Linked DNA regions of Macaca fascicularis. The main gene of each other region encodes a partner of the protein of the gene in region 5 in a complex. Links are inferred from orthologs where the notes say so. Each region holds a gene or a part of one and is shown on either strand. Other genes may lie near its edges. The genes, in order: ARPP19, RBL1, PABIR1, IER5 and PPP2R2A.

Region 1 (5,836 bases), on a different chromosome or scaffold from region 5:
ATGCAGAGTGGTGTTAGTTGGGAAAGAATGACTTTCCAGGCAGTCCTCATAGTGGAGCGTTGCCCATGGTGAATTCTCCATTTTACCAAAGTCTGCCCTCCAGAAATTCAAACTTCCCCTCCTGCGAGTGTCACTATCAGAAACAGATTCTTTTTATCCAAGGTCACATAGCCAATTAAAAAAAAAAGACCAGGTGTGGTGGCTCACGCCTATAATCCCAGCACTTTGGGAGGCCAAGGCGGGTGGATCACTTGAGGCCAGGAGTTCGAGACCAGCCTGAACAACACGGTGAAACCCTGTCTCTACTAAAAATACAAAAAATTATCTGGGTGTGATAGTAGGCAACTGTAATCCCAGCTACTTGGGAGGCTGAGGCAGAATTGCTCGAACCCAGGAGGCAGAGGTTGCAGTGAGCCGAGATTGCACCATTGCACTCCAGCCTGGGTGATCTGTCTGAAAAAGAAAAAGAAAAAAAAAACCTTTTTTTTTTTCTTTTTGTAGAGACAGAGATTCGCCATGTTGGCCAGGCTGGTCTTGAACTCCTGAGCTCAAGTGATTTGCCCACCTTGGCCTCCCAAACTGCTGGGATTACGAGTGAGCCACTGTGCCTGGCCACAGCAATTTTCTTGAGGCTGCATTTCATCATAAGTGTATGTCTATCAGATTTTAACCTAAGTTCACAAATACATTGATATAGGACATATACTAGAATGCCAGTCAATTTATTAATAAAAATACAATTGTTAAATGCTCCAGTTGGCCTAACTAGTGCATTCTTCTTTCTCTCTGCAGTTCTGCTTAAGGGAAAGGCAAATTTTCAGTATATTACTTTGTGAGTATAGAATGAGAACAAATATGTCGTTGATCTTATAGTTTCTCAGCTAGCCCAGCGTGAGACATTCGTAAGGGGTATCTTTGTCAAACAGTTGGCCTGTTGAACCATTTTACTTTCAATACTTCCTTGGCTGACAAACACCTTCCTTCGTTTCTCCAAAAGGAGTGCAATATTAACTCTTTTTGTTTTTCTAGTTGCAATTCTAGTGCAATTCTTCCTGTCTGAGATTCTACATCCTGGTTGAGTTTCGATGGTTTCCAAACTTATTATCCAAATTGCATTCATTTTCTGTGGTTTTTTACTAGTGTAACTCTTTGAGGGCAATTTTATTTCCAAGTTTCTGAAGGACATTTTGTTGGAACCGGCAAACATTGCCAGTAAATTCAGATATCAAGTAGAATGAGGATTCAATATGAAGCCGCAGGACTTGGCAAATGAAAGAGTCATTGGGGGAGCTCAATGCTAGCAGTTTCGGTAAGCTTGTGGGAGTGGACCCCCTGGGAGGGGACAAATGAATCTGAATTCCTTCGTTAGGTATCTAGGAAGTGCTGGACCCTCAGAGTAAAATATAAGTAATTACAGACGAGATCCCTGCCCTGGTGTGGCTTATCTGAGCAGGAAAGGTGACCTAAAGTCACGACAATTGTCTAATGATACAGTTCGTGTTGTTGAGGAACTGTACAGAGCTGTGACGGCCTTTAAGAGGTGGCCTAGTGTAGAGGTTTAGGAAGGAAAGGTTCTGAGGCGGAGACGTAGGACTGGAGATGTGAAGGCGTGGCAGAATGGAGGAAGGAGCTTTGGCGTGCGCAAAAGACAGCCTGTGTGGCTACAGAGCGGAGAGCGAGGAGAACGGAACTAGGCGAGGCTGGTTAAGTAAAAAGAGTAAAATAAAAAGCTCCTAGAACGAGGGGGCCAGAGTGAGCAGGAAAGGGCGGGGAGAGGCGGTTCCACTTAGAAACTACAATTCCCAGGAAGCATTAGGGAGCCACAGACGGATGTGAGGTGAGGCGGGAGCAGCGACCTTTGAAGGAAAAAAGGAAGTGTTTGAACGACAGCGAGCGGGAGAAGCGGGGTCAAGTAGGTATGGGCGCGGTGCTGGAGGGGCAGGCGGGCTCCGGCGTGCGAGGGCCTTGGCCAGCGGAGCGCTTCGCGGCTCCGTGTCGTCATAAGGCGGCGGCCATTTTTGCGGGCGGAGGCGGCCCGGCGGGCGCTGGGAGAGCTGGGCCGGGCGGCGGGCGGGCCTGAGGCGGCAGGCTGCCGGGTGGCCTCGGCCACCGGCTAATCGCATCTTTTCCCGGCGTCTCGTCTGCAGAGGGAGCACTATGTCTGCGGAAGTCCCCGAGGCAGCCTCCGCGGAGGAGCAGAAGGTGAGTGCGCGGGGCGTGGGGCGTGGGGCGTGGGCCCTGGGCCCTGGCCGGGTCCGGGTCTGGCGGGCGGCCTGCTCCTGCCGGGCGGAGGGGCGCGCCCTGCATGCGGGGCCGAGGCGCAAGAGGCCGAGGCTCCTGCGCCCCACCTTTGGCTTCCCGCAGTCACTGGCTGGCTGGTGCGCCGACGAACTGGGAGTTCCAGCGTGCCCCGCGTTTACTCCGAATCGTGCCTTTTCTTTTTTTTTTTTGAGACGGAGTCTGGCTCTGTCGCCGAATCGTGCCTTTTCTAACACCTCCGTGGGTCGCGGTGTTCCTCAGTCACTTACATTTACGCGAGCGCCCAGGACGCAGTCTGGGCGTAGAGCCTAAAGTTTTTTTGTGAGCGTCAGTTTGCTTAGGAAGTTTGATTTTTTTCTCTGAAGAACTCTCCAACTACTTGTATTGTAAGCGTGCGGTTTACGCTAAAGGCAGCCTCGTGTGCGGGCCGCGATGTGCGCCGGGCTTGGTATTTCAGGACCAACCCTTGTAACCATGGTCAGTGGGTACAGTCCGCCTTCAGTGCCTTCACCTGTAAAGGCGGAATCCTGGTGCTTGCCTCCCACGGCGGGGCGAGGCCTAGAGGAGGTGAGTCACCTGCAGTGTTCAGCGCAGTCTGTGCTGGAAAAGGTTGCAGTCAATGGAACTCAGATATGGTACTCGACTAAAAATCGAAAGGGTGGAAATTTAAAATTTTACTCACGAAATTAATCAGGGTTTTATTGGAAACATAGGAATATTTTTTAAACGCACTTGTGTCTTCCTGATGTAGGGGAATAGGCCAGGAGTGTCAGTGTGGTTCAAATGATGAATATCAAGACTTTCTATTTATCTAGGCTAGTGTTTGTCTCTCCCATTGTAATTATTTCCACCGCCCTGCTCTCCTAGGTAGGTGTGACTGGCCGAGAAGTGAGAAAGGGCCGAGGTATCCTGTTTCCTAAATTGTTTATCAACAATTTTTCTTACAAATCAGGTTGTGTTGTCGTTAAATACGATTTTGGTCTACTGCTTGACCTTCGTGCGGGTTTCTACTTAATGTTGCGCTTATGTCCTAATTAAGTTGGGAATTGGATTAGTGTTCTAAGGCCATTCCATATGTTCTTAAAATTGTGTTAACTTCTCTTGAGTTGGGGGCTTCTGTTAGGATGTTAAAGTAATTGAAAAGCGAGAAAATAACATATAGCATAGGTAAAAGTCCAAGTTACCACATGATTTGAGAATATCCAGTGAAAATAGATATTTTTACACATTACCAAAAAAATGAATTTGGGGGCAAAAAATACAAATGTTAAAGATTGCAATCTTAAAAGGAGTATCAAGTATCACCTGCTTATTGTAAAAATACTTGTTGTGTTCATTATTGCTTGAAATTTAGGAACCCTAAAAAATAAGTCCCTCTCTGTGGTGTTTTGCCTTAAACACTGACATCAAACTTAGCATTAACTTCTGGTGCACAGTAGTGTGCTGTGTAATTTTCTTTGATAAGTTCTGTTAGTGTGTTGCCAAAGTATGCAGTGTTGATTTCTAGAGTGTAAATACTTTTACTTGGAAAAGCCTAATGTATCTTTTAACAGTACTAAGGGTAGCTTGAACGTTTTCTCTTATTGATTGTCTACATTAAACATTTATTTAAGGTGCTTTGGTTTTAGCTGCTGTCATTAAAATCAACCAGTGTGTTAGGAATATAATGTTCCTTCTTAAATTCAGGATTGACTGTAAATGCTAAGTGCCTGTGGCATGGATAGTGTCCCTAACCATGAAGAAAATGTGCACAGTCACTTCTGTGTTCCTGTGGGCCAAATCACCTGTTTCTTCTATTTGGAAGATCAGTTCGATGACCTAAAAAATTGAGTTATTGTCTGTGTACCCAATTGACCTTCCACTTAAAGCCAAAGTATTCAGCTAAAAATACCTTTATAGTTTACTGGTAGGTTGCCTATTGCCTATTGCCTCTAAAGAATTAAGGTAGATAGCTGGGCCTTGCGTGGAGTAAAAGCTAAGTCACTTTCTCTATCTTGAGTGGTGTGTGCTCCCTTGGTAAGAGAAGAAAACCAGATAGATTCCTATCTTGTGTTAGGATACAATTAAATATGTACAAACATAAAAAATAAGTATAAACTCTTATCTCTTAACTTGTGTACCACTCTAAAACTAAAACAGCCAGGCGTGGTGGCTCTTGCCTATAATTCTGGCACTTTCGGAGGCTGAGGCAGGAGGATTGCTTGATGCCAGGAGTTTGAGACCAGCCTGGTCAACAGAGTAAGATTCTGTCTCTATAAAAAATAAAAATAGGACCGGCCCGGTGGCTCACGCCTGTAATCCCAACACTTTGGGAGGCCGAGAGGGGTGGATTACAAGGTCAGGAGATTGAGACCATCCTGGCCAACACGGTGAAACCCCGTCTCTATTAAAAATACAAAAATTAGCTGGTCGTGGTGGCGGGCGCCTGTAATCCCAGCTACTCGGGAGGCTGAGGCAGGAGAATGGCGTGAACCCGGGTAGCGGAGTTTGCAGTGAGCCGAGATCGCGCCACTGCACTCCAGCCTGGGCGACAGAGCGAGACTCTGTCTCAAAAAAAAAAAAAAATTTAATTAAATTGAATTAAAAATAAAAATAAAAATTAGCCAGGTGTGGTGGCATGCCTGTAGTCCCAGCTGCTGGGGAGGCTGAGGTGCAAGGATCACTTGAGACCAGGAGTTCGAGGCTACAGTGAGCTGCTTTAAAAATATTTTTTAAAAATTTAAAAGGCCTGTGCTGTGGCCCACACCTGTAATCCCAGCTACTCAGAAGACTGAGGCACAAGAATTGCTTGAACCCAGGAGGCAGAGGTTGAAGTGAGTTGAGATCATACCACTGTACTCCAGCCTGTGCAACGGAACAAGATTCTGTGTCAATAAATAAATAAATAAAATAAAATTTGGCCGGGCACGGTGACTCACACCTGTAATCCCAGCACTTTGGGAGGCCGAGGCTGGCGGATCATGAGGTCAGGAGTTCAAGAACAGCCTGGCCAATATGGTAAAACCCCATCTCTACTAAAAAATACAAAAATTATCCAGGTGTGGTGGCGCACACCTGTAGTTCCAGCTACTCTGGAGGCTGAGGCAGGAGAATGGCTTGAACCTGGAAGGTGGAGGTTGCAGTGAGTGGAGATTGTGCCACTGCACTCCAGCCTGGGCGACAGAGTGAAACTCTGTCTCAAAAAAATAAAATAAAATTTAAAACAGATTAAATACAAGCAAAGCCAGTCTAAATTTTTGATTGTGTGCTTGGTATTTTGCTGAAATTAAATTTCCAATGTATTTGGAATATGACAGCAATTGTTAAAAGTTAAGGGATTTTTTGAGTTTGTCAAGTAAACACTCCCCTAGGCCATGTTGTGGCTCAGTTCCCCCTTTAAGAGTAAGCTATGAGGTCACTGAGTTTCCAGAGTCATAGATACAATCACATTTTAAGTTCAGCTCTATTCTTGTCTCATTTTCTTGGACAGTTGGAGTAACCTACTGAGTCTTGGTGCAAGAAAGCTCAGATGCAGAACCCACATAGCACTATTTAGATGCAACATGGTGATTCAGATGCCGCAGAATATGCTTATATT
Region 2 (5,320 bases), on a different chromosome or scaffold from region 5:
GGTGAAACCCCGTCTCTACTAAAAAATACAAAAAACTAGCCGGGCGAGGTGGTGGGCGCCTGTAGTCCCAGCTACTCGGGAGGCTGAGGCAGGAGAATGGCATAAACCCGGGAGGCGGAGCTTGCAGTGAGCTGAGATCCGGCCACTGCACTCCAGCCTGGGCGACAGAGCGAGACTCCGTCTCAAAAAAAAAAAAAAAAAAAAAAATTGGGGAAGTATGGAATTAAAGTGAACATGAGAGTTTTTTTTTTTTTCCCAAACTGCAGTACTTCTCAGAGCCTTATACTAACATGCATTTCTGAATTTCTAATATAATGTACAGCATTTCCTCAACTTTATTTAACCACATAGCTCCCCTCCCCTCCCACCCTAGTCAAGATCCTTTAGAAATAGCAGAAGTGAAAGAGACATCCAAATTAAGACTGAGATCCCCCGGGGCCGTTTGGTCTTTGAACCATGTTTGTGTTTTCTGGTTTTCCTAAGGTGAAGGCATTGCTTCTACCCATGTTCTCAATGTTTGTAGGCCAGTGAATTGAGAATGAGAACTTTTTTCAAATAAATGCTAAATTATTTTTAATTGGTAGTGGTTTTCTTAACTCTTCTAAACACATGGTTCTTGTATATACAAGCAAATGATAGTTTGTAATACTCTATAATACTTTTCCTTCCCCAAAAAATAGTAGGACAAATTTCTGCCTAGTTTCACAAGCTATCCCAGAGTTGCACCATTAAGTAGGAAACTACGTTGGGGCAAGCTGTTATTTTACTATTGGGGGTGCTCAGTAAAACCTGAACACTGGTTCCTGATCAGAGTTCCTGTTGTACGTGGTACAATAAGGCTCTTAGAACACCTGTCACCTGCCATGTATTTGCAGAGAAATAAATGTAATTCATTTTGCTTCTTCCCTAACCTCTCAGGATATGCTTTACCTTTTAGAATCTTTCCACCTTTCTCAAAGACACAAGAAGAATATCTGCAGGCCTTTTAGTTTTATGAAGCTGAGGTTTGCCACTGCCTCCCATACTGTAGAACTTAGATAACACCAGCTCAGGGCTGTTGCCCCTCTAAAAGCCACTAATGACAGTCAGCTCAAAAGCTATGGTTGTGAAAACATTCTGAAGTGGCATCTAGAGAAGAGAGCACCACCTTCAATTGATATGTTTGCATTTCTCTAGATTCCAATTTGACTTATAAGTAATACAGATGGATTTCTGAACCTTCTCTGAAAATATTAATTTCTCTATGTAAAGACTTGTGAGTTTTTTTTAATATTGTAGAAAGGTAATTTAAATTGCTGACTTGTATATTAAAGTATGCTTTGTGGCTGGGCATGGTGGCTCACGCCTGTAATCCCTGCACTTTGAGAGGCTGAGGCTGGCAGATCACTTGAGCCCAGGAGTTGGAAACCATCCTGGGCAACATGGAAATATTGCCGTCTCTACTAAAAATAAACGCCGTCTCTACTAAAAATAAAAAATAGCCAGGCATGGTGGTGCGTGCCTGTAGTCCCAGCTACTCAGGAGGCTGAGGTGGGAGGATCACTTGAATCCAGGAGGTTGGGGTTGCAGTGAGCCAACATTGCACCACTGCACTCCACCCTGGGTGACAAAGTGAGACCCTGTCTCAAAAAAAATAAAATAAAAAGTATGCTTTGTATCACAACATTGCATTCTTTTTAACAGACTTGGAAGATGCTACAAAAACACCTGACTGTTCCAGTGGACCAGTGAAAGAGGAAAGAGGTGATCTTATAAAATTTTACAATACAATATATGTAGGAAGAGTGAAGTCATTTGCACTGAAATACGACTTGTCAAATCAGGACCATGTGGTATGTTTTATGTTTTACTACTTTATTATTATTCGCTGTCATAGTTGAATTACTGTAAGTTTATTTTGCTAGATAAGTATGTCAAAGTAAAATTACTAGCAATTAATCAGAGCATGACTAGTAACTTAATCGGTGATTAAGGCTATGGTACAACAGAGACCAGAGGAAATCATGGAATCTGTTGCCCTGGCTACAGTGCAGTGGTGAGATCCTGGCTCACTGCAACCTTTGCTTCCAGGGCTCAAGCGATGCTCCCACCCCAGCCTCCCAAGTAGCTGGTAGGACAGCTGCGTGCCACCACCACGCCTGGCTAATTTTTTTGTATTTTTAGTAGATACAGGGTTTCACCATGTTGGCCAGGCTGGTCTGGAACTCCTGGACTTAAGCAATCTACCCACCTCAGACTCCCAAAGTGATGGGATTACAGGTGTGAAACACCACGCCTGGCAGAAATTTTATCTATACCATGATTATGTTACTAGAAATTCCGTGTACATATGGGTAAGAACTTGATGGGAACATGAATATTAAAACAATTAATTTGTTTGTATTTATTTATTTATTTATTTTGAGACAGAGTCTCACCCCGTCACCCAGGCTGGAGTGCAATGGCATGATCTCAGCTCAACTGCAACCTCCGCCTCCCAGGTTCAAGTGATTCTCCTGCCTCAGCCTCCCCAGTAGCTGGTATTACAGGAGCATGTCACTACACCTGGCTAATTTTTTGTATCTTTAGTAGAGACAGGGTTTCACCATGTTGGTCAGGCTGGTCTTGAACTCCTGACCTCGTGATCCGCCCACCTCAGCCTCCCAGAGTGCTGGGATTATAGGCATGAGCCACTGCGCCCAGCAAATTTGGTAAATTTTTCTGTTGTTACATTGTGAGATTAATGTTTTTCTCAAGTTAAAGACAGAAGGGGCCAGGTGTGGTGGCTCATGCCTGTAATCCCAGCACTTTGGGAGACCGAGGTGGGTGGATCACCAGAGGACAGGAGTTCAAGACCAGCCTGGCCAACATGGTGAAATCCCATCTCTACCAAAAATTAGGTGGCGTGGTGGCAGGCACCTGTAATCCCAGCTACTCGGGAGGCTGAGGCAGGAGAATCACTTGAACCCAGGAAGCAGAGGTTGTAGTGAGCAGAAATTGTGCCACTGCACTCCAGCCTGGGTGACAAGAAGGAAACTCCATCTCAAAAAAAAAAAAAAAAGACAAAAGGAGGTCAGGCGCTGTGGCTCATGCCTGTAATCCCAGTGCTTTGGGAGGCCGAGGCAGGTGGATCACGTGAGGTCAGGAGTTCAAGACCAGCCTGGTCAACATGGTGAAACCCCATCTCTACTAAAAATACAAAAATTAGCCGGGCATGGTGGTAGGCACCCGTAATCCCAGCTACGTGAGAGGCTAAGACAGGAGAATCACTTGAATCCGAGAGGCAGAGTTGCAGTGAGCCAAGATTGCACCATTGCACACCAGCCTGGACAACAGAGCAAGACTCCGTCTCAAAAAAAAAAAGGCAAAAGGAAGTAGATAGGCCTGGATCATTAATAGAGGCACCACTAAGAAATTTTTATGCAGGCCAGGCGTGGTGGCTCACGGTTGTGATCCCAGCACTCTGGGAGGCCAAGGCAGGCGGATCACGAGGTCAGGAGATTGAGACCATCCTGGCTAACACAGTGAAACCCTGTCTCTACTGAAAAGACAAAAAAAAAAATTAGCCAGGCATAGTGGCGGGCGCCTGTAGTCCCAGCTTCTAGGGAGGCTGAGGCAGGAGAATGGCGTGAACCGGGGAGGTGGAGCTTGCGGTGAGCCAAGATCATGCCACTGCACTCCAGCCCAAGCAACAGAGCGAGACTCCGTCTCAAAAAAAAAAAAAAATTATGCAGACCCCAGTTTTGGCAGTCGCAGCAGGCCTGAGAAAGTGTTACCAGTGTGTAAGCTGAGGTTGCTTCCCAGAAGACCAGACTTTAGCTCTAAGAAAAAGAGACCAGCCAGGCACTTCCCAAGCCTGTAATCCCAGCACTTTGGGAAGCTAAGCCTGGAGGATTGCTTGAGCCCAGGAATTTGAGACCAGCCTGGAAAAATAAGAAGGCCCTGTCTCTTTAAAAAAAAAAAAAAACTCTACAAATTAGCCATGTAGTGGCTGGTATACACCCAAGTAGTGGTCCCAACTACTCAGCAAGCTAAGGTAGGAGGATCGCTTGGGCCCAGGAGGTCAAGGCTGCAATGAACCACAGTCGCATCACTGCACTCCAGTCTGGGCAACAGAGCAAGACCCTGCCTCAAAAAAAGAAAAGAAAAGAAGGCCCTAGCAGAAGCTGCAGCCAGCCAGCCAATAGCTGTTTCTATGTATCTGTGTGCATCTGTACATTTCTGTTCTTCCTCTTTTCATGGAATATGGTCTATGACTATCCTCAGAGGTCATAACTGTTCATCCTACTCCAGTTTCACTTCCCCTCTGTCTATATACTCTGAATATCTCTACCATCTTAATTTATTTCCATTATACAGGATATTAAAGAAAATGAAATCCTTGCTCATCCAACTTATTTCTAAATATTTTCCATTTCCATATGAAGTGTTTCCCATTTCATTAACAGATTTTTTTCCATGTCAGAATCATTCTGCTGGCTTATAGAATTCTCTGCCTCTTTTATTCTCTCTGCTACTGCTTTGGTTGTGGGGTAGAGAGAGATTTTGTGTGTGTGTAGAGAGAGATTGTTATAGCAAGTGTTAGAAGATTGGTTATTCTTTGTCCCTACTTTTTTTTTTTTTTTTTTTTTTTGGAGAAGGAGTCTCGCTCTGTTGCCCAGGCTGGAGTACAGTGGCCACAGTCTTGGCTCACTGCAACCTCCACCTCCCGGCTTCAGGCAATTCTGTGCCTCAGCCTCCTGAGTAGCTGGCATTACAGGCGCCTGTCACCACGCCCAGCTGATTTTCGTATTTTTAGTAGAGACAGGATTTCACCATCTTGGCCAGGCTGGTCTTGAACTCTTGACCTCATGATCCACCCACCTCGGCCTCCCAAAGTGCTGGGATTACAAGCGTGAGCCACCCTGCCCAGCCTGTCCTTACTTTTTAAGCATGAATATGAGGTTCTCGTGCTCGTGGCTTAACTCCTGGTGTCTTGTCCAGAATTTTTTTTTTTTCTTTTGAGACAGAGTCTCACTCTGTCACCTAGGGAGGAGTGCAGTGACATAAACTCGGCTCACTGCAACCTCTGCCTCCTGGGTTCAAACAGTTGTCATGCTCAGCCTCCCAAGTGGCTGGGACTACAGGCGCATGCCACCATACCTGGCTAATTTTTATATTTTTAGGAGCTACTCAGGAGGCTGAAGTGGGGTTTTGCCATGTTGGCCAGACTAGTCTCCAACTCCTGGCCTCAAGTGATCAGAGCATGTTGGCCTCCCAAAGTGCTGGATTATAGGAGTGAGCCACTGCACCTGGCCCCAGAAATCTTTTTTTTTTTTTTTTTGGAGGCAGATTCTTGCTC
Region 3 (6,002 bases), on a different chromosome or scaffold from region 5:
ATCCTTCTCTAATTCATGTGAAATTCTCTTTCTTTAATCCATGTGAAATTCAGAGAAAACAATACAGGTTTTCAAAATGAGTCCTTGATTCAAATTGGTTCAGATCTTTGTTCTTCCGTGTACTGACTGTAGTACCTTTTGCAGTTTTTGAACTTCAATCATTCCTTCACAAAATGAGCATAACAATATCTACGCAGTGAGGATTAAGTGGGATTATGGAGTGTTTAAAGTACCTAGCAGGGAGTAGGCACTTAGAAAATGTTGGTTCTTTCTACCTTCTGTTCTTCTGCTTCAGATCTCTTAATTTCTACAGCTCTAAATGTGCTCTTTTCCTCTCTCAGTAAATAATACTACCATCTCACCAGTTTAAATAAAACAAGCTATGAGTCCCCTTTGAATAATCTATTTCTTTCACAATCTAAATTTAATCCATCTGCAAATCCTATTGGTTCTAACTCAACACATAGCCTCAGTCTCTCTACTTCTCCCCATTGACACTGCTACAACCCTAGTCCAAGAATCTTATCTGTATTGTTGCCATAGGCCCTGAATTCATCCTTCTGCCTCCACTGTGGTCCTCTTTCAGCCTGTTTTCCACAGAGCCTAAGTGATATTTAAAACATAAACCAGATAATATCATTCCCCTGCTTAAAACCCTCCAGTGGCTTTTCATCATACTCAGAATGAGATCCAACTCTTACCCTCTGCTAACACTCGCCGCTCTTATGCTTCAGCAGCACTGCCCTTCTTTCTTTTTCCGCTTACTCAACAAACTCATGGCTGCCTCGGGCCTTAGCACTTGCTATTCTCTCTGCTTGGAATACTCATTCCCCAGATGTCCACGTGACTTGCTGCTGCTTGTCATTTAGATCTCAGCTCTAATTGTCCGCTGCCTTCTATCAGTAGTGCTCCATCACACCATCTTGTTTTTCCTAAGGCTTTACCACTATCTGAAAATAGCCTGCGTTTATTTCTGTATTTTCCCCTCAGTAAGAATTAAAAGTTCTCAGACTAGGGCCCATTTCCTAGCAGTGTTTGGCACATAGTAAGTATGCTGGAAAAAAAAAAAAAAACCTTGACTGAATAAATGAACAAATAAATTCACTTTTAATGAGCTATCAAGGTTTCATATTAATTACATGAGCCAAGAATAGTGTTTTTATTTTTAAAATGTGAGGACCTACTGGTTTTCCTTTAATCCTTCATACTTCACACATATGCTTGTGCTGGAACTATGACTGTAAATCAGTATCAGTACCATCCCCGGTTTTGGCTTTTTCCCCTAACCTAAACAGTTCTCATTTACTTTTCTCTCCATCTCCACTTCCACAGTCACCTTAGTGCAAATTACCATCCTCTCTGGCCTTTTTTCTGTAAGGTTTTAATCTCCCAGTATTTGTTCTCCAGACTGCAGGCCAGTGAGCTTTTCAGTTGCTATTATACCCATGCTTGAAAACCCTTTAAGTTTTCATTGTTCTCAAGATAAAGACCAGAATGTGGTCTGGTCCACCACCTCACGTCACGCCAGCCCTCACTCTCCACTCCAGGCCACACTTTCTCCTCCCCTCCTGGTTCCCGCCTGCCACCTGGCTGGGTCGCCCTTGCTTCCCGCTTCCTGCGAAGTTTTACATCGCACCCATTTCGCCCACTTCTTCGGATTTCAGGACACTGTTCCTTCCTCGAGGAAGCCCTCCCTGATTCGCAAGCGCCACTCCCCGTCATACAGCCCCACATCACCATGGGCCTCTCTTTCAGGGCTTTGTTCGTTTTATAAATATGTACTCCAGAATATGACAATCTTATTGACGTTCGTCAATGCCAGTTTGCGCTCAATAGCTATTTGCTGAAGGAATATACGGACTAGCGGCCCGACCACTCCTCGCCCCTCCCCTACCACTGCCGCGCAGATATTACGCATAAAGCAGGCGCCTCGAGGACGGACATCGCGAGCGCCTGCGCGAAGGGGTACGCATGCGCAGAGGGGCCAGCCCGCTGACAGATTCTCGGTGGCGGCGGCAGCGGCGGCGGCCCTGGACTGCGGGGAATGGGAATCCTAGGTCCCTGACTGAGCACCTCCCCCGCCTCCCTGCCCCCGACATGGCTCAGGAGAAGATGGAGCTAGACCTGGAGCTGCCTCCGGGTACGGGCGGGAGCCCGGCGGAGGGCGGCGGCAGCGGCGGCGGCGGGGGCCTCAGGAGGTCTAACAGCGCCCCCCTGATCCACGGCCTCAGTGACACTTCGCCGGTGTTCCAGGCCGAGGCGCCGAGCGCCAGGCGGAACAGCACAACGTTCCCGAGCCGCCACGGCCTGCTGCTACCGGCCTCCCCTGTCCGCATGCACAGCAGCCGCTTGCACCAGATCAAACAAGAAGAGGGTATGGACTTGATCAACCGAGAGACGGTCCACGAACGGGAGGTGCAGACCGCAATGCAGATAAGCCACTCCTGGGAGGAAAGTTTCAGCCTGAGTGACAACGACGTGGAGAAATCCGCCTCCCCCAAGCGCATCGATTTCATTCCTGTGTCACCGGCACCGTCACCCACTCGGGGAATTGGGAAGCAGTGTTTTTCGCCATCCTTGCAAAGTTTTGTAAGTAGCAACGGATTGCCTCCAAGCCCTATTCCCAGCCCAACGACCCGATTTACCACCCGGAGAAGCCAGAGCCCCATCAATTGCATTAGACCAAGTGTTCTTGGACCATTGAAAAGAAAATGTGAAATGGAAACTGATTATCAGCCAAAGAGATTTTTCCAGGGCATCACCAACATGCTTTCTTCTGACGTTGCACAGCTGTCAGATCCTGGTGTGTGTGTATCTTCGGATACCCTTGATGGAAACAGCAGCAGTGCCGGATCTTCTTGTAACTCACCAGCGAAAGTCAGCACTACCACCGACTCTCCTGTGTCACCTGCCCAAGCGGCTTCTCCATTTATTCCACTAGATGAACTTTCGTCTAAGTGATTCACTCATCCTGAGACTTTCTTTTTGCAGTGGAGAGAGAGAATAATCAAGTTGGGGCAAACACTGAACTTTGTCAATTAATTTGAGGCTATTTCCTATTCGACCCCTTTTCTTTTTTGAAATTTCCTGAAATGATGTTATTCTAGAGAACTTCTATGTCAGGTTCCTGCGGATACCTTTGAATTCAGTGTAGTAATATTTTCAGACGTTTCCCCAATAAGTGTGTTGAAGCATACATCTTTACGCTGCTACTATGTCTAAATACATATGTTATCCCTTGATTTTTTTAAATAATTGAGAGCTCTATTTATTTATGGGATTATTAAGTTCTGATGAAAATATAAATGTTGACTTAATCAGCATAGTAAACTGATGTTTAAAATTCCATACTTCATGCCCACACTAATTTTTAATGTTATTTTCAGTGGTTTGCCGATTTCCATTTGATGAAGAACTATACAGCTTAAAAAAAAAATACGTTAGTTATATCAATCTAGTGGTTGTCTGTTTTACCCAGGAATTCTTGGATATTTAGTTTTCTGGGTACCGAAGTGGGTGGGAGGGGGAATGATTAGAGAACAAATTATAAAAGTTTGCAACAAATCCTTTCAAATTAAGTATATAAAAGTAAACTTTTAAGGAAAACATTTTTAATGAGATTTTAATAGTAATTCTAGTCAGTCATACAACTATATTATAGAGAAAATAAAAATTTTCCTTTTTTTTTTTTTTTTTTAACCAGAAAGTGCATTTGCTTGGGTGCAATCCTAAAGTGAAATGGGACAGTGCCTTGCAGTCTTTGCCCACTGTACATAGGCTAAGGCTAAGCTCTTTGTACTACTGCAAACGTAAAAGTTTTTCAAATGTAGAAAATGTGTGGGAAGGCTTGTTGAACTTTGGCGCGCCCAGGTAAACAATACTCTCTCTCAATTGTTGATATACTTTAAAATATTCAGTTGTGCCTCAGTTCCAAAAATTATTGCCAACCAGGAGCCAGAGCAATTTTTGGCTACTTTTCTGCTCTGCCCATCTGTCACCTTACTGGTTTTCCCTTGTTCAGGAAGGAAGCAGCTGTTTCCTTGCCAACAGGTCCCTTCCTTCATCTCCCACCAAAGTAGGGCACCATTGATTAGACAAAGGTACAGTGTAACTTGGATTTCTGACAGCAACAACAGGACTGAATTGTTTAACCTCTGTGGTTAAAGCTACAGCTTGAGTTGACTGCCTTGGGGATGTCCATTAATTAAGGGGTGATGATTTGCAAGAGAAAATTAGTGGAGAGTCACATAGGTAAATCATTATTTAACTTAGGTTTTGCTAAAGGTAGAATAGTCGAATGTTCTTTTCTTTGCCTTTACAATTAAGACAATAAGAATAACAAAATTTTCTTAATATTCTTCCTTATACCTCATATAGCTTCCTTAACTAGATAGTTTGACAGAAAGAATGGCATACAAAGAGGAAAGGGGAAAAATGACTCAGAACAAGACAAAAGCTCTGACTTTTTAAAGTTATCACTTACAGAGACTAACAATTTTGTGGAATTTTTACGACTATGAAAATAAATGGAACTGGTCAACTCTTGATGGTTGCCTCAAGATGGAGTGAAATTGCATTGAGGGTAAGACTGTGTCCACAGGTTTAAAATTCTCTCTTCTGAGTAATAGTGTTCATGTGCTCCCATTCTCAACCTTGTTCTTCAAATTCAAACTTAAATAGTCTGACTTCTTGTTGGGTAACTTGCCCTGCCTCCAGAGGTATTTAAACTTCATTATCTTCAACACAGAAATTGTTAATCTTCTCACTTCACCTATTCTTGCATTATCTCAATTGATGTCATCACTAATTTCCTAAACTAGAAATCATGGAAGCATCTTTGACTTTTCCTTTTCTCTGTTGGATTAGCTTAATCACCAAGTCCTGTCAACTTCTGAAATGAATCTCAAATTTCTTCCCTTCTCTATCTGTTGCCCCTGATTTTGCCTTAAGTTTTTGCCTGAGTGATCTCCCAGGCTGTTTTCTGTCTCCTTTTGGTTCAGTCTTTATACTGCCTCTTGAGAAATCTTTCTAAAATTTAAACTTGATATTTTTCACCCTCTTGCTTGAAAACTTCATTTGCTTCCCCATTTCCTACTCTTTAAGGAATGATTTCTTTAGCCTCAGATAGAAGGTTCTTTATGATCTGGCCATATTCTGCAATAGCTTCAATCCTCTCCTCATCTCTGTTCCCGTATATGTCTGTCTTTCTTATTCTACAAACATTAGACCACTTGATATTCTTTAAATATGTCATACTTTCATGTATCTGTGCTTTGGGATAGATTGTTCCTTCTCCCTAAAATGCCATTCCTATCCTTTTCAGGGAGGCAAATTGCACGTGAGTTTAAGTAGAAGGCAATGTATACCTGCTGATTATAAAATATTTAAACAGTGTACATATGTATGTGGTTTTAAAAGTCTGCTTTTAACTATGTAAAAGTCATCTTCCCTTTCAACAGGTAACTTCTGTTAACAACTTGGTATATATTGTACAAGATGTGTTACTGGCATTTCCATGTATATATGTATATAAATGCAGGAAACCAACATGTCCTTGATACCTCTCTTCTTTTCTTTCTCCCATGTCTAATCATTCCTCAAGTCTTACTGATTTTATCAGCTGGAATCTATCTCCTTATTTCTACCTCTATTGCCACTCTGGTCCCGGCTACCAGCATTTCCCTCTTAGACTCCTGAAGCAACTTGCTAACTCCCACTTGTGCTCATCACACTCACTCTGGTCGGCTATCCTTTCATTCTCTATACAGCGCCTAGAGTCATCCTTTTAAAATTGTGGACCTGATCCTTCCATCTCCCAACTGAAAGCTTTTCATTTGCTTCCTGTTCTCATGAGTATGCCAAAATGTATTAATTCTGGGCTAGGAGGCCCTGAGGAATTTGGTCCTTCCCTCCTCCCCCATTGTTTTCTGTGCTTTGCCCTCACTGGCTTGCTTTTGTCTTCCTTAAATACATCCTATTCTCTCCTATTTTAGATCCTTTTC
Region 4 (5,718 bases), on a different chromosome or scaffold from region 5:
CAGAGGTTTTCAGCACCCTCTTCAGATACAACTTCTTCGGTGAAACTTTCTTCCATCTATGTTCCTTTCTTCTCCCAGCCTCTTCTCCCACCCCAAGGTAGTATGTGGGGTAATGTGTTCTGAGAACTAGCCTACATTGATAGCTTATTGTATGCCAGGTGCTGTTCTGTGAGCTTTGCATGTGCTACCTTGTTCTATCCTCACAAAAACTCTTAAGAGGTAGGCACTATTATTATTATATTTATTTTTATGTTTTTTTATTCTACTTTTTGAGACCGAATCTCACTCTGTTGCCCAGGCTGGAGTACAATGGCGTGATCTCAGCTCACTGCATCCTCTGTCTCCTGGGTTCAAGCCATTCTCCTGCCTCAGCCTCCCGGGTAGCTGGGATTACAGGTACCTGCCACCATGTGAGGCTAATTACTGTATTTTTTTTTAGTAGAGACAGGGTTTCACCATATTGGCCAGGCTGGTCTTGAACTCCTGACCTCAAGTGATCCACCTGCCTTGGCCTTCCAAAGTGCTAGGATTACAGGAGTGAGTCACCACACCCAGCTGATTATTTTGTAATAAAAAAGACAGCAGCACAGAGAAGTGAAATAATTTTCCAGAGGCCATGCAGCAAGTGAACGGAGAAGCTGGGATTCCAAGCCAGGAAGCCGGCCTCCACAGCCTGTGCTCTTAGCCATTGCTTTATAGTGACTAACAACTTGCAAAGAAAAAGACAAGAGAAAAATTCTTGCATTATTACTTAATATATGCTACTTGGTTTTGTAATTTTTGTGTCATTATTTTATCTCTTTCTCTGCATGGGCTGAAAATTCCTAGAGGGGGGAGGAACTGGGTCTCAGAGCCTGCAGTCTCAGTTACCATCAGTTGTGGGCACAGGTAATGCTACTGAGCCATCACATCTTCTGGAGATTGTCAATTGGTCATGATCAAGCCCACCCTTCACTGGTATTTTTCCTAAATAAATTCATTGCTTGGCCAATCCCTGGGGCAGGATCAGGCCCAGGGTTCCACATGGACTCCAAGAAAGCAGTGCTTAGTTTTCTCATTCAGTTTGTGGCTGAGAAGTTGTCATTTATCGTCTGTACAATAAAGCAGATGTGTATGTGACTTCCCCTTTTCAGCGGTGGAGACACTGAAGCGGTCTGAGGTTATTTACCCAGAGTCCTCAGGCAGGTCTGTGGTGGAGCTTCGGTGGAACTAACTGGAAGTGACTCCATGTTTCCAGTCCAGGACCCTGGGCAACCCTGTGGTAATTGTGCCCTGATATAAGGACCAGTAGATGGACTACATTGTTGACTGACCAGAAAATTCTGGAACTCCCTAGCGCTGTATTTTTACCTTGACACAAAATGAAATTATGACATCATCATGGGAACACAGGACTTCTTTCTTTTTATTTTCAGACCTTGCTCGATTTTTCCAAGGGTTGACTGATCAGTCCTTGTAATGGAAAAATGGAAATGGGAAAAAAATCATTGTGGAGAACCTGTAACATCTTCCATTTAACCTATTTGATAACTGGCTTTGTTCCAGAATCTAGAGAACAAAGTGAAAGATGCCGGCTTTAGAGGGCAACCAGTAACTTTGTATCTAGACACAATTCCTTGATAAGAAGCCAAGAACCTAGCCAAAAACTTTTAGAATCCCCTTTTTCTTTGGTGTTAGAACTGACAGCTGCTAAGAGTGTATGTGACTCTAGCGGGGAAAGCGGCTCATCCAAAAATAATGACAGCCAAATACTTTGCAGTAATACTATTTGTTATCCAGGGGTGTCCTCCGCCGCGTATAGCCACCATCTCTATTTTTGCCAGGGTTGAGGGGAATCGCTTACAGGTGTGGCGGGCCTGGAAATGGTGGCGTGGCCGGTTAGGGCGGAGTTGATCAGGAAAAGATCAGGACTTTATGGCAGAACAGAGTCCAACACCGTGCTCGGAAGAAAGTTCGAATATTTTGTTCGCTTTGGTTCCGGCAAGCCATCGCACAAGCCAGAATCTGTAACTCCAAACAGTAGCGCCCTCGAGCACGGTCCCGAGCACGGTCCCCAGCACGGTCCCCAACACTCACTCCCCATCGGCCTGGTCTCCGCCCGCAATCCGTCGCCCCCTTTAAGAGCTTGCTCCGCGGGACTAACGTTCGAACGGGCCTTGGCGCCCCTCCTCGGGCTCCGATTGGCCGTGCGCGGCGCACGAGGGCGCGCCGGCCAGCCCCGGAACGGTTGGCGGCCCTTCGTGATTGGCGGTCGAGGAGTCTATATAAGGCGCGGGGCGGCCGGGCTGCCCTGTTTAGCTACCGGACCCGAAACGGGGTAGTTGTCTGGTGTAGAGAGGTCTGCGGGGCAGTGAGCGCGCGTCACCGGAGTCATTTCTCTTCGGAGTCTTAGGTGATCAAGGGTGTGCCCACGGGGCGGACTTGTTTGCGCCTCCCGTTCCCTCCCAGTTTCCGAACGTAACACCCCGGCGCCGACGGCCCTGTGCAGGGGAGGCAGGATGGAGTTCAAGCTGGAGGCTCACCGAATCGTCAGCATCTCCCTGGGCAAGATCTACAACTCGCGGGTCCAGCGCGGCGGCATCAAGCTGCATAAGAACCTCCTGGTCTCGCTGGTGCTGCGCAGCGCCCGCCAGGTCTACCTGAGCGACCCGTGCCCCGGCCTCTACCTGGCCGGTCCCGCTGGGCTCCCGGCGCCGCCACCGCAGCAGCAGCCTGGGGAGCCGGCGGCCGGGCCACCCGCCGGCTGGGGAGAGCCGCCCCCGCCCGTCGCCCGTGCCTCTTGGCCGGAGACCGAGCCGCAACCGGAGCGCCCTTCCGTCTCACACGCGCCGCGGGTAGGGGACGAGGTGCCAGTGACCACGGTGACCGGAGTCGGGGACGTTCTTCAGGGCGGAGAGGCGGACGCGACGGAAGCTGCCTGGAGCCGCGTGGAGCGGCCGCGCCAGGCGGCGGCCGGAGAAGCCGAGGGTCCCGCCGGAGGCTGGGGCGTCTTCCCCGAGGGATCGCTTGCCGCGCGCCGCCCCTGCGGCTGCCCCCTAGGCGGGGAGGACCCGCCGGGTACACCGGCCGCGACCCCCCGCACTGCCTGCTGCTGCGCGCCGCGACCAGCCGAGGACGAGCCCCCCGCGCCGCCCGCAGTGTGCCCCAGGAAGCGCGGCGCGGCGGGGGTGGGCGGCGGCCCAGCGGGCTGCCCGGCGCCCGGCTCGACCCCGCTCAAGAAGCCCCGCCGGAACTTAGAGCAGCCGCCGAGTGGAGGAGAGGACGACGACGCGGAGGAGATGGAGACCGGGAACGTGGCTAACCTCATCAGCATCTTCGGTTCCAGTTTCTCGGGACTCCTACGGAAAAGCCCCGGGGGCGGCAGGGAGGAAGAGGAGGGAGAGGAGAGCGGCCCGGAAGCCGCCGAGCCCGGGCAGATCTGCTGCGATAAGCCGGTGCTGAGAGACATGAACCCCTGGAGCACAGCCATCGTGGCCTTCTGAGCCCTTGGCCCCCATGCGGGGAGGAGGTTGAGCAGCGGGCGTCCTCGAAGTGAGGGTCGGGCCCTTGCCGGCTGCGAGGACGCCCAGAGACCGCGGCCGCTGAGCGCGTTGGGCAGACTGGTTGCCGCTGGGCATCGCAAACTGCCCCCGGGCGCATCTGGCTTTTCTGGAGACCTGGGAGCTTGAGGCTCATTGGAAGAGGACGATCTTTAACTTTTTGTGTTTGTGTATGTCTGTGTATGTAAGTTTGTCTTGTGGCATTAAGACTATTTTGTTCTGGAATGCACCACTCCTTCCCCAGGGCTTAAGAGATTGGGGGCAGACAGGGACTTTCCTCTGCCGGCTGCGTGGAGAAGGAAGCGGCTAAAAGGTTTGGGCCGGGGAGTTCCCCATTCGTTCTCCGGGGAGGGAGGGACTTTACACCCACCCCTCACCGGAAAGCTAGACCCGCTTCAGGGCCAGGAGTGGCGTTTCCGCACAGGATTTCCTAAGACGAGAGGGATTTAGCCAGCAGCACAGACTTGGATTCCTTCTGTCCCTCCCCACCTTTCTCTCCCAATGAAGAAACGTTTATATCCTGTGATTACTCTAGGAAAGGGGCATATTAACCGTCCTTTGCTTCCCCGCAGGGGAGAAAAAGCTTGAACTTCACAGAAGAGTTCAAGCTTGGAAATAATGGAGTTTATAGAGAAAAGATATATTTTTAAAAGCTCTAGGTCAGAACTACTACACAGTGCTTTTAAAAAGTGTTTAATGAAAGTTTACAGACAGAAGCCCGAAGTGGAAAGACCTTATGGTTTTGTAGATATGGTGACTCCAGTCTTTGTTATATAAAGGTTGGGGGAGCTGATAAGGTTTTTGTACAGTATTTTCTCCTTCGTTGTATTGATTTTTGTATAAAAATGTAACTTCTACGTGTCTAACACGTATTAAATATTTTGAAGCAACGTAACTGCCTGCTTGTCTGCAATAACCTGCCTGGGTTGGGAGGGAAGTGGGAAGAGGGAAACCAGGGCCTGGGCTAGAAAATTGAAGGTGTGGTTCTTAATATCAGTCATTCGCAGACTGAGAACATTGTTTACTGACTCCACTAAGTATCAAGAGAGACACGTTTAATTTTTCCTCCTAGATCAGAGGAATGCTATTAGATACTAATATCAGCGACCTGCCAGGTTCTTGAAACCTACCGCTACAACTGGCTTTTCTAAGGTCGGTTTAGACCAATTTGTCACCCAATATGTGGGTGTATATTATTAAGTAATTTAACCATCAGCTTTTGAAGCCCTGCTTATCTGCAAAAATGTTTTTCAGCAAAACTTTGTTTCCTGTTAAGCTGTTAATATGGGTCATCTTTTAGCTTTGTAATTGAAAAAAAAAGTTTAGATAGTTTACCTTAAAAACCCATTCGAACTGACATAGGAAGATGAAAGAGACTGACTTGTCCAAATTGTCAGGTCCACCTCTGCATTACAGTGGATGTCAGGATGTAAATTTTCCATTTTTCTCTTATATCTAGAAAGTAAATGTATTGGTGAGAGGGAAATTGCTTGCATCAAACCAGATAAGGAAGGAGGGCTGGGCAACTTTAATTCTCATTTAGCAAAACTTCCTGCTTTGTTTTGTTACTCAAATGGTGACATCAGTGTTTGGTCATGGTAGACACTTAGATGATGATAGCCAAAACATGCATCGATTTTACTAAAATCACTGCCATTAAGAGCTGTTTGTCTCTTCATGTTCAGTGTTTGAAAGGTATTCAATAATCTATTTCAGAAGCAAATCAATTAGGGAATGGTGTTTAAAATACAGTACAGTTGCCAGGACTTTAAAAGGTGGTGCTGGTTTCTAACAACTTATGAGTATGTAGGGTGTTTAAAAGATGGGAGAGATTGAAGAAAGAGACAAAGGTTTAAAGGTCATAGCCTTCGAGTATAAGAGGCATATGAATGGTGTCTTGGCCTTAACTCCCAATTATATGAAATTCTGTTTTAGCTGAATAGGCCAGTGCCTCGTGACTTGATATTTCAGCAAATCTATTAGTGGTTCCTTAAGCATAGGGAACTTTCTACTTTACGCTCTCTCGCCATTATAATGTATTTATAGAACTAAACATTCTCAAATTAGGGTCTTGTTAAATTGACTTTTTCTTTCAGACAGTAGCTACTTAAATTCTGTTACAGCTACAAAAGATCCATCAAGTGCTGACTGCTTAAACTGAAGAAGGTGTCCAGGGCCT
Region 5 (5,320 bases):
GTTCCCATTACGTTTTAGAACTGGATGATTCGTACTGTAGCCACTAGATCCATGTGGCTATTTAAATTAATGGGGAATTGAGTCTGTTCTCTCTCCCCCGCTGCAAGACCCTGTTGCAGTGGTCCCTGTCTCCATGGCCCTCTTTAAATAAAGTCAGCCTTACCACCTTATAAATAAATAAATACATTTAAATTGTTAAAAATAAATTGTAGAATTAACTTCCTTAGTTGCAGTAGCCACATTTTCAGTGCTCAGTGTGTGCCTAGTGCTCAACTTGACTAGTGGCAAAACCATACTGGACAACACAGATACAGACGATTTCTATCATTGCAGAAAAGTTCTCTTGGGTTGTGTTATCCTAGGACTTGATTATTGTACCTTCACATTTATATCTCTTATTCATCTGTAATCACTTTATGTGAGTGGTTTAGGGAAGGGGTCGAGCTTCATTTTATTTCCTATGAATAGTCAACCTATTCACTAGTCAACACCATTTAGTGAAAAGACCATCCTTTCCCCATTGCCCAGCAAGGCAACCTTTGTCATCATTTAGGCCTGTTTCTGGGCCATCTGTTCTGTTTCATTGGCACATTGGTCTATCCTCGTGCCAGTACACAGTCTTTATGACTTTGCTTTAAAACTTGGTTATGATGCCCTTTAGTGAATTCTCTTTGCATCTGTGTTGAAAATGTGTGATACTGGTTTTGTGTCCTGTGCTTGTAATGTATGTAAAGTATGTGACATACCTCATTCTAAGTCCTGCTTTGAAAATCTTTATTGAATGCCTGTTACATGTGCCAGGTACTGTTATAGGTGCTGGGGAATAAAGCACATCTAAACTTACCGTAGAAACTTTCATGCAAATAGATTGTATGGTTAGGAAGATGATTCTCATAGTGATCATAAAGGCAAGCAAGAAAAGAGAGGGAGGTGAAAATGCTGTGCAGGTAAAGCCAGTATACATTGTTGAAGGATGTGTCACAATTCTGTATGACTGTAGGAGAGGTTTTTAAAACAAAAACGTTGTTTGATTTTGATGCATTCTCATTTGAGTGGCTCAGTGTTGAGTATCTGGTTATGTTTCTTTTATTTCAGGCTTGCTCACTGTCCTTTGTTCGTGCGGGGAACAATGCTATCATGGTCATTATAATCTAAACATCCCCTCCCAAAGTGTTAGGGAAAATCTGTTGCAGCTTTCTGCAGTCTACTGTCAGTTACCACTTGTACCCATGTTTTATAGCCTCTTCTGTTTTGTTACTGCTGCTGTCATTTCTGCCATTACTCTTTGTCCTGTGGACTTGTTTTTAAAAGTTCTGTTATGATAATTTTAGTAAAGTTTCAGAGGAGAGGGGAGGCTAGTGCATGTGCTTAGCCTGGCATCTTGAGCTTTTTAGACAGAATTTTCTCCTTTTATGATACATATATTTATTTCCTGTTGCAAAGAGATGGAACTTCTTGCAGTCTATTGAAACTGCCATATATCTCTATGATTTTGTTTTTGGATTCTGTAAGAGATCATGTTTAGTAGACTCATGTTGTTGTCCATGAGTCTACAGGAAGATGTTCATGTTCTGTTTCAGAAAATATTTCTGTAGTTTTGTGCTTTTCTTAACTCATCAAATACAATGTGTGGCTTGCCCTTGGCCCTTCATACTGCTTACCTTAATTGTGTAGACCATAACCAGTTTCTACTTTGACTGAAGTTTGACGTACACAGGTCACTTGAATGTGGGGATTCTGTCTATCCCTCTACGCCCTAGTGTACAAGGTGCTATATACTATAGTCTCTTTAAGTGTTAGATGAAAAACCAGTCTAAAACGCAGGGTTTATATTAAAAATCGAGTTGCCTGCTTAATGGTATTGTGTTTTCCTTGTAGAGTGTAATGATAAACTTTGTGAGACTGGGTGAGTCATTTTAGGTAGAAGATATGTGGAGCTTTCAGGTGACACTGGAGTATTTATATATGTTAATGGAATAGGCTGTCTAATTTGGTGTGTGGGTATGGTGATGAGACCAAGGCTCTGAGTCTGATTTTTACCCCTTGTGTGTCCCCAGTATGTGGATCGTTTTGTGGGACACTGCATTCTTAACACTGGCAGACTTGCCCTCTAATAACTGATACTGCTGTCCAAAGGTTTAAATACAACCATCCATGAATGAACAACCCAGATCGTCAGGCTGCTGGAAAAAACAACCCAAAACGTAGACTTTCAAGATGATTCGGTGAAGTTTCCTTTTGATATGGAGAATAGTAATAGGCTAAGAAGTCGTAAACATTTCACTGGATAACTCACTTTTACTTAAAATAGTTGACAATAATAATCTCATTCTTTTATTTAAACTTTTTCCATAGGTGGTTCTCTGAACTAGTTTTAAATTTTTTTATGAAAATGTTTTTAATCGTGTGATAAAAGATGAAATTCTGAATATTATAATTCTCACTTTTGCTGAGATATTAATGCTAACCAAAGTAGTTCATAAGTAGTCCCTTTACGAGATAGCTTAAATTATGTTCTTTCAAAGTAATACTAAATGAAATTAATCATCAGTGTGTGCCAGGTTCATAAGATGAGAAAGCAAATTAAAGGCGAGTAAGTAGTAGTTGATGGGGTGCATGGGGCTATTGCTGGGTGGTGCTGAATATGGACTTGATTGGTGACAAAGCTGTCTGGAACAGCAGTCTTGGGGTGGGAGGCAGGGGTCAAATGGGATCCCTTCATTTATAAGAGCCCTTTTTTTAAGCTTTCAGCAGCGAAATAACCAAAAGGCAGGCATCAGAAAGGAAAAGGAGACAGTACATCATATTAAGTAACAGATTGGGGAGTTGACCCTAAAGTGGGCAGAGAAAGAAGGTGTGCTTCATCTAGCTCTTTCTGGGCAAGCCTTTCTTTAGTCATTACTCTTTAGATGAACTCCCTTATTATGGGTGCTCAGTTTTTTTCATTGGTATGCCTCTATACCATCAAAGCAATCAGATTGATCCATATTTAACATCATTATTTCCCTAATGAATGAGCTTATTTATTCAGTGTTATTTAGCCTTTTTTCCCCTTTAAGTTTTCTCATTTAATCCTTGAAGGCCTTTAGAAATATAAAAAATAGAATATAATTGTATAAAGACACAGCTAATGGGCTATCGAGAATTTGCAGGGTCCTTTGGAATTGATTACATATTTGATTATTTTGAAATATTTTTCAACAATGGTCCATATATTTTTGTTTTCATTTTAGAACAAAATCCAGTCTCATAGCAGAGGAGAATATAATGTTTACAGCACCTTCCAGAGCCATGAACCAGAGTTTGACTACTTGAAAAGTTTAGAAATAGAAGAAAAGATCAACAAAATTAGGTGGTTACCCCAGAAAAATGCTGCTCAGTTTTTATTGTCTACCAATGGTAAGTATATGTATTTTCTTTCCATGTGCCCACTGTGTGTACTTGTTGCACATAATCCTGTAGACTAGGAGAGGAATCATTTAACAGAGATAATTTTAAAAAGGACTTTTTTTCTATACAGAATATAAACTCTACTTTTTTACTGTTCACTTGCAGTTTTTAGATTCTCTGAAAGATTCTCAGATAGCAATTTTTTGTTTACTACACCCCCAATTTGTAGCGAAAAGAATGGGCTGCTATACCATTGGATTTAGGTCAGGTACTATTTCTGCTATTTCTCAGTCTCCTAATCTTGGGCAGGTTACTAACACTGAATTGAATTTTCCTCAGCAGCGAAGTAGAGAGAGTAATTTTTTATTATAGTATTATGAATATTAAGTAACTCTTCACATATGTCATGAGTGCAAGTGCTCAATAAATGTTAATTTATTCCTCCTTTTTAAGTGTTCCTGAACTCTACACAGAGTATTTCTAACTGCAGATACAAAATAATACTCAAAGGATGGTCTTCATTCAGAGCACTCTTCTTACTTGACTACCTATTAGCATATTGCCTTCTTCCCAGCAATCCACATCGCTGGAAGGAGATTCCTCTCCTACTGTTTTACTTGCCCAGGGAGAGGTTTTTGTTGTTTTTTGAGACAATGTCTGTCGCCTAGGCTGGAGTGCAGTGGTGTAATCACAGCTCACTGCAACCTCGATCTCCCCACCTCAGTCTCCTGAGTAGCTGGGACCCACAGGTGCATGCCACCACATCAGGCTAATTTTTTTAAAACATTTTTTGTAGAGATTGGGTCTCCCGATGTTGCCCAGGCTGGTCTTGAACTCCTGGGCTCAAGCAGTCTGTCCCCCTCCTCAGTCTCCCAAAGTACTGGGATTACAGGTGTGAGCCACCATGCCTGGCCCAAGAAAAGTTAAGTGAGGATTAAAAGTTAGTAATGACTCTACCAGAATTTGAAATCCTTTATGATAAGTTGGGTTCTTTTTCTTTGTTCTTATAAAAAACTTTTCCCGTGAATTGTTTGGACTTCGTTGGAGTCTTGAGTCTGAAGGGAATCATTAGAGTGACTGAGGAGATACTTTAGTTTCTTGGTAGCTGTAGTCTATAAAAATGTGTGATTAAAACTTTTTTGAGGTTGGTGCTAGGGTGAGGGGAAACCTCCTCCTATTTTCTCATTCCCTCACTATTAATTTAAAAAGCAAATTTTAACACCTAGACCATAACCATTTGCAGAATATAAACTTAAATGACTTTGGGGATGAAATAGGGGAAGAAATTCAGCACTTCCTCCATCTAATTGATGCCCTTGGTCCACAGTATGAGTTCTTAAAAATGCTGTTCACAAATGTCTGATGCCATCAGTGTTGGCCGCCTTTTAGATGCCCAGTTTTCTGATCATGAAAGCTCTCCCCAGCCAGTCCATTGGGATTCGTACCCTCTGCCTTCTCTCTTTCCACAATAAACTGCATTCCCCTCTCTTGTCCTTATTAGAAGAACAATAAACAGAAGTAACTATTTAAAGCCTGTAACTCAGCAGCATGGGTGGAGGGAACAGTTTACTCCTATCATGTGCTAGCTTCTAGTCTGGGGTCAGTTTTAATTTATATGGTAAACTAAGTTACTTCAAATAGCTTCAGATATTTTGTTCTTTGACATCAGATGATACATAACTAAACCATTTATATAATTTCTACTTATAGAATAAATGTTCCTAGGGAAGTGTGTTGTTAACATTTTATATATTGGAATGTTTCATGGCAGTTTATTTCTTACAGGGCTATGTCAGCTTTTTTATAAAGAGGACTTTTTAAATGTAGGCTGAGCTCAAGAGAATAGTATAGTGAAGCCCTGCATGCTCATCATCCACTTCCGATGCTCCTCAGTTCACGGTCAATTTGTGTCTCAAATCCTTCTCCTCCT

Evidence for each region.
Region 1: the proteins of PPP2R2A (region 5) and ARPP19 are in contact, whole or in part, in a cryo-EM structure (PDB 8TTB), measured with the Homo sapiens proteins. The link is inferred for Macaca fascicularis from reciprocal best matches to the Homo sapiens genes PPP2R2A and ARPP19. Residues at the interface, in NP_002708.1 of Homo sapiens: Lys18, Gly19, Ala20, Asp23, Asp24, Asp29, Ile31, Thr45, Asp47, Gly49, Arg51, Val53, Phe55, Val73, Thr76, Gln78, Glu81, Pro82, Glu83, Phe84, Leu87, Lys88, Ser89, Glu91, Glu93, Tyr178, His179, Asp197, Leu198, Asn221; in NP_001293124.1 of Homo sapiens: Lys42, Pro43, Gly44, Ser46, Phe48, Leu49, Arg50, Arg52, Leu53, Lys55, Lys58, Tyr59, Phe60, Asp61, Lys75, Pro93, Asp97, Leu98, Pro99, Pro103, Leu105, Val106, Ala107, Ser108, Lys109, Leu110, Ala111.
Region 2: the proteins of PPP2R2A (region 5) and RBL1 are in contact, whole or in part, in a cryo-EM structure (PDB 9C6B), measured with the Homo sapiens proteins. The link is inferred for Macaca fascicularis from reciprocal best matches to the Homo sapiens genes PPP2R2A and RBL1. Residues at the interface, in NP_002708.1 of Homo sapiens: Lys88, Tyr178, His179, Asp197, Leu198, Met222, Glu223, Glu224, Leu225, Thr226, Glu227, Val228, Ser247, Arg278, Ser279, Phe280, Phe281, Ser282, Glu283, Ile284, Ser287, Tyr337, Phe343; in NP_002886.2 of Homo sapiens: Ser615, Pro616, Leu617, Met618, His619, Pro620, Arg621, Val622, Val625, Arg626, Ser629, Leu632.
Region 3: the proteins of PPP2R2A (region 5) and PABIR1 are in contact, whole or in part, in a cryo-EM structure (PDB 8SO0), measured with the Homo sapiens proteins. The link is inferred for Macaca fascicularis from reciprocal best matches to the Homo sapiens genes PPP2R2A and PABIR1. Residues at the interface, in NP_002708.1 of Homo sapiens: Phe84, Leu87, Lys88, Ser89, Leu90, Tyr178, His179, Asp197, Met222, Glu223, Leu225, Thr226, Glu227, Val228, Tyr337, Asp340, Phe343; in NP_612206.5 of Homo sapiens: His81, Ser82, Ser83, Arg84, Leu85, Ile88, Lys89, Glu92, Arg99, Glu100, His103.
Region 4: the proteins of PPP2R2A (region 5) and IER5 are in contact, whole or in part, in a cryo-EM structure (PDB 8UO5), measured with the Homo sapiens proteins. The link is inferred for Macaca fascicularis from reciprocal best matches to the Homo sapiens genes PPP2R2A and IER5. Residues at the interface, in NP_002708.1 of Homo sapiens: Glu91, Ile92, Glu93, Glu94, Asp116, Tyr178, His179, Asp197, Leu198, Met222, Leu225, Thr226, Glu227, Val228, Thr230, Ser247, Phe280, Phe281, Glu283, Ile284, Ser287, Cys334, Tyr337, Glu338, Asn339, Asp340, Phe343, Lys345; in NP_057629.2 of Homo sapiens: Ala7, Arg9, Ile10, Ile13, Ser14, Lys17, Arg25, Gly26, Lys29, Leu30, His31, Lys32, Leu34, Leu35, Val36, Leu38, Val39, Leu40, Arg41.

The regions. Positions count from the first base shown.
Region 1 is NC_088381.1:29,019,184-29,025,019, reverse strand, and holds the start of ARPP19 (cAMP-regulated phosphoprotein 19), read left to right. Parts: upstream 1-2,145; 5' UTR 2,146-2,157; coding exon of another isoform or gene 2,158-2,202; 5' UTR 2,203-2,691; coding exon 2,692-2,826; intron 2,827-5,836. UniProt on the Homo sapiens protein: Protein phosphatase inhibitor that specifically inhibits protein phosphatase 2A (PP2A) during mitosis. Inhibition of PP2A is enhanced when ARPP19 is phosphorylated.
Region 2 is NC_088384.1:93,122,138-93,127,457, reverse strand, and holds part of RBL1 (retinoblastoma-like protein 1), read left to right. Parts: intron 1-1,683; coding exon 1,684-1,832; intron 1,833-5,320. UniProt on the Homo sapiens protein: Key regulator of entry into cell division. Directly involved in heterochromatin formation by maintaining overall chromatin structure and, in particular, that of constitutive heterochromatin by stabilizing histone methylation.
Region 3 is NC_088389.1:99,502,244-99,508,245, forward strand, and holds PABIR1 (PPP2R1A-PPP2R2A-interacting phosphatase regulator 1), read left to right. Parts: upstream 1-1,997; 5' UTR 1,998-2,097; coding exon 2,098-2,961; 3' UTR 2,962-4,544; downstream 4,545-6,002. UniProt on the Homo sapiens protein: Acts as an inhibitor of serine/threonine-protein phosphatase 2A (PP2A) activity. Inhibits PP2A activity by blocking the substrate binding site on PPP2R2A and the active site of PPP2CA.
Region 4 is NC_088375.1:38,575,708-38,581,425, forward strand, and holds IER5 (immediate early response gene 5 protein), read left to right. Parts: upstream 1-2,292; 5' UTR 2,293-2,498; coding exon 2,499-3,482; 3' UTR 3,483-4,434; downstream 4,435-5,718. UniProt on the Homo sapiens protein: Plays a role as a transcription factor. Mediates positive transcriptional regulation of several chaperone genes during the heat shock response in a HSF1-dependent manner. Mediates negative transcriptional regulation of CDC25B expression.
Region 5 is NC_088382.1:29,541,045-29,546,364, forward strand, and holds part of PPP2R2A (serine/threonine-protein phosphatase 2A 55 kDa regulatory subunit B alpha isoform), read left to right. Parts: intron 1-3,233; coding exon 3,234-3,399; intron 3,400-5,320. UniProt on the Homo sapiens protein: Substrate-recognition subunit of protein phosphatase 2A (PP2A) that plays a key role in cell cycle by controlling mitosis entry and exit. Involved in chromosome clustering during late mitosis by mediating dephosphorylation of MKI67.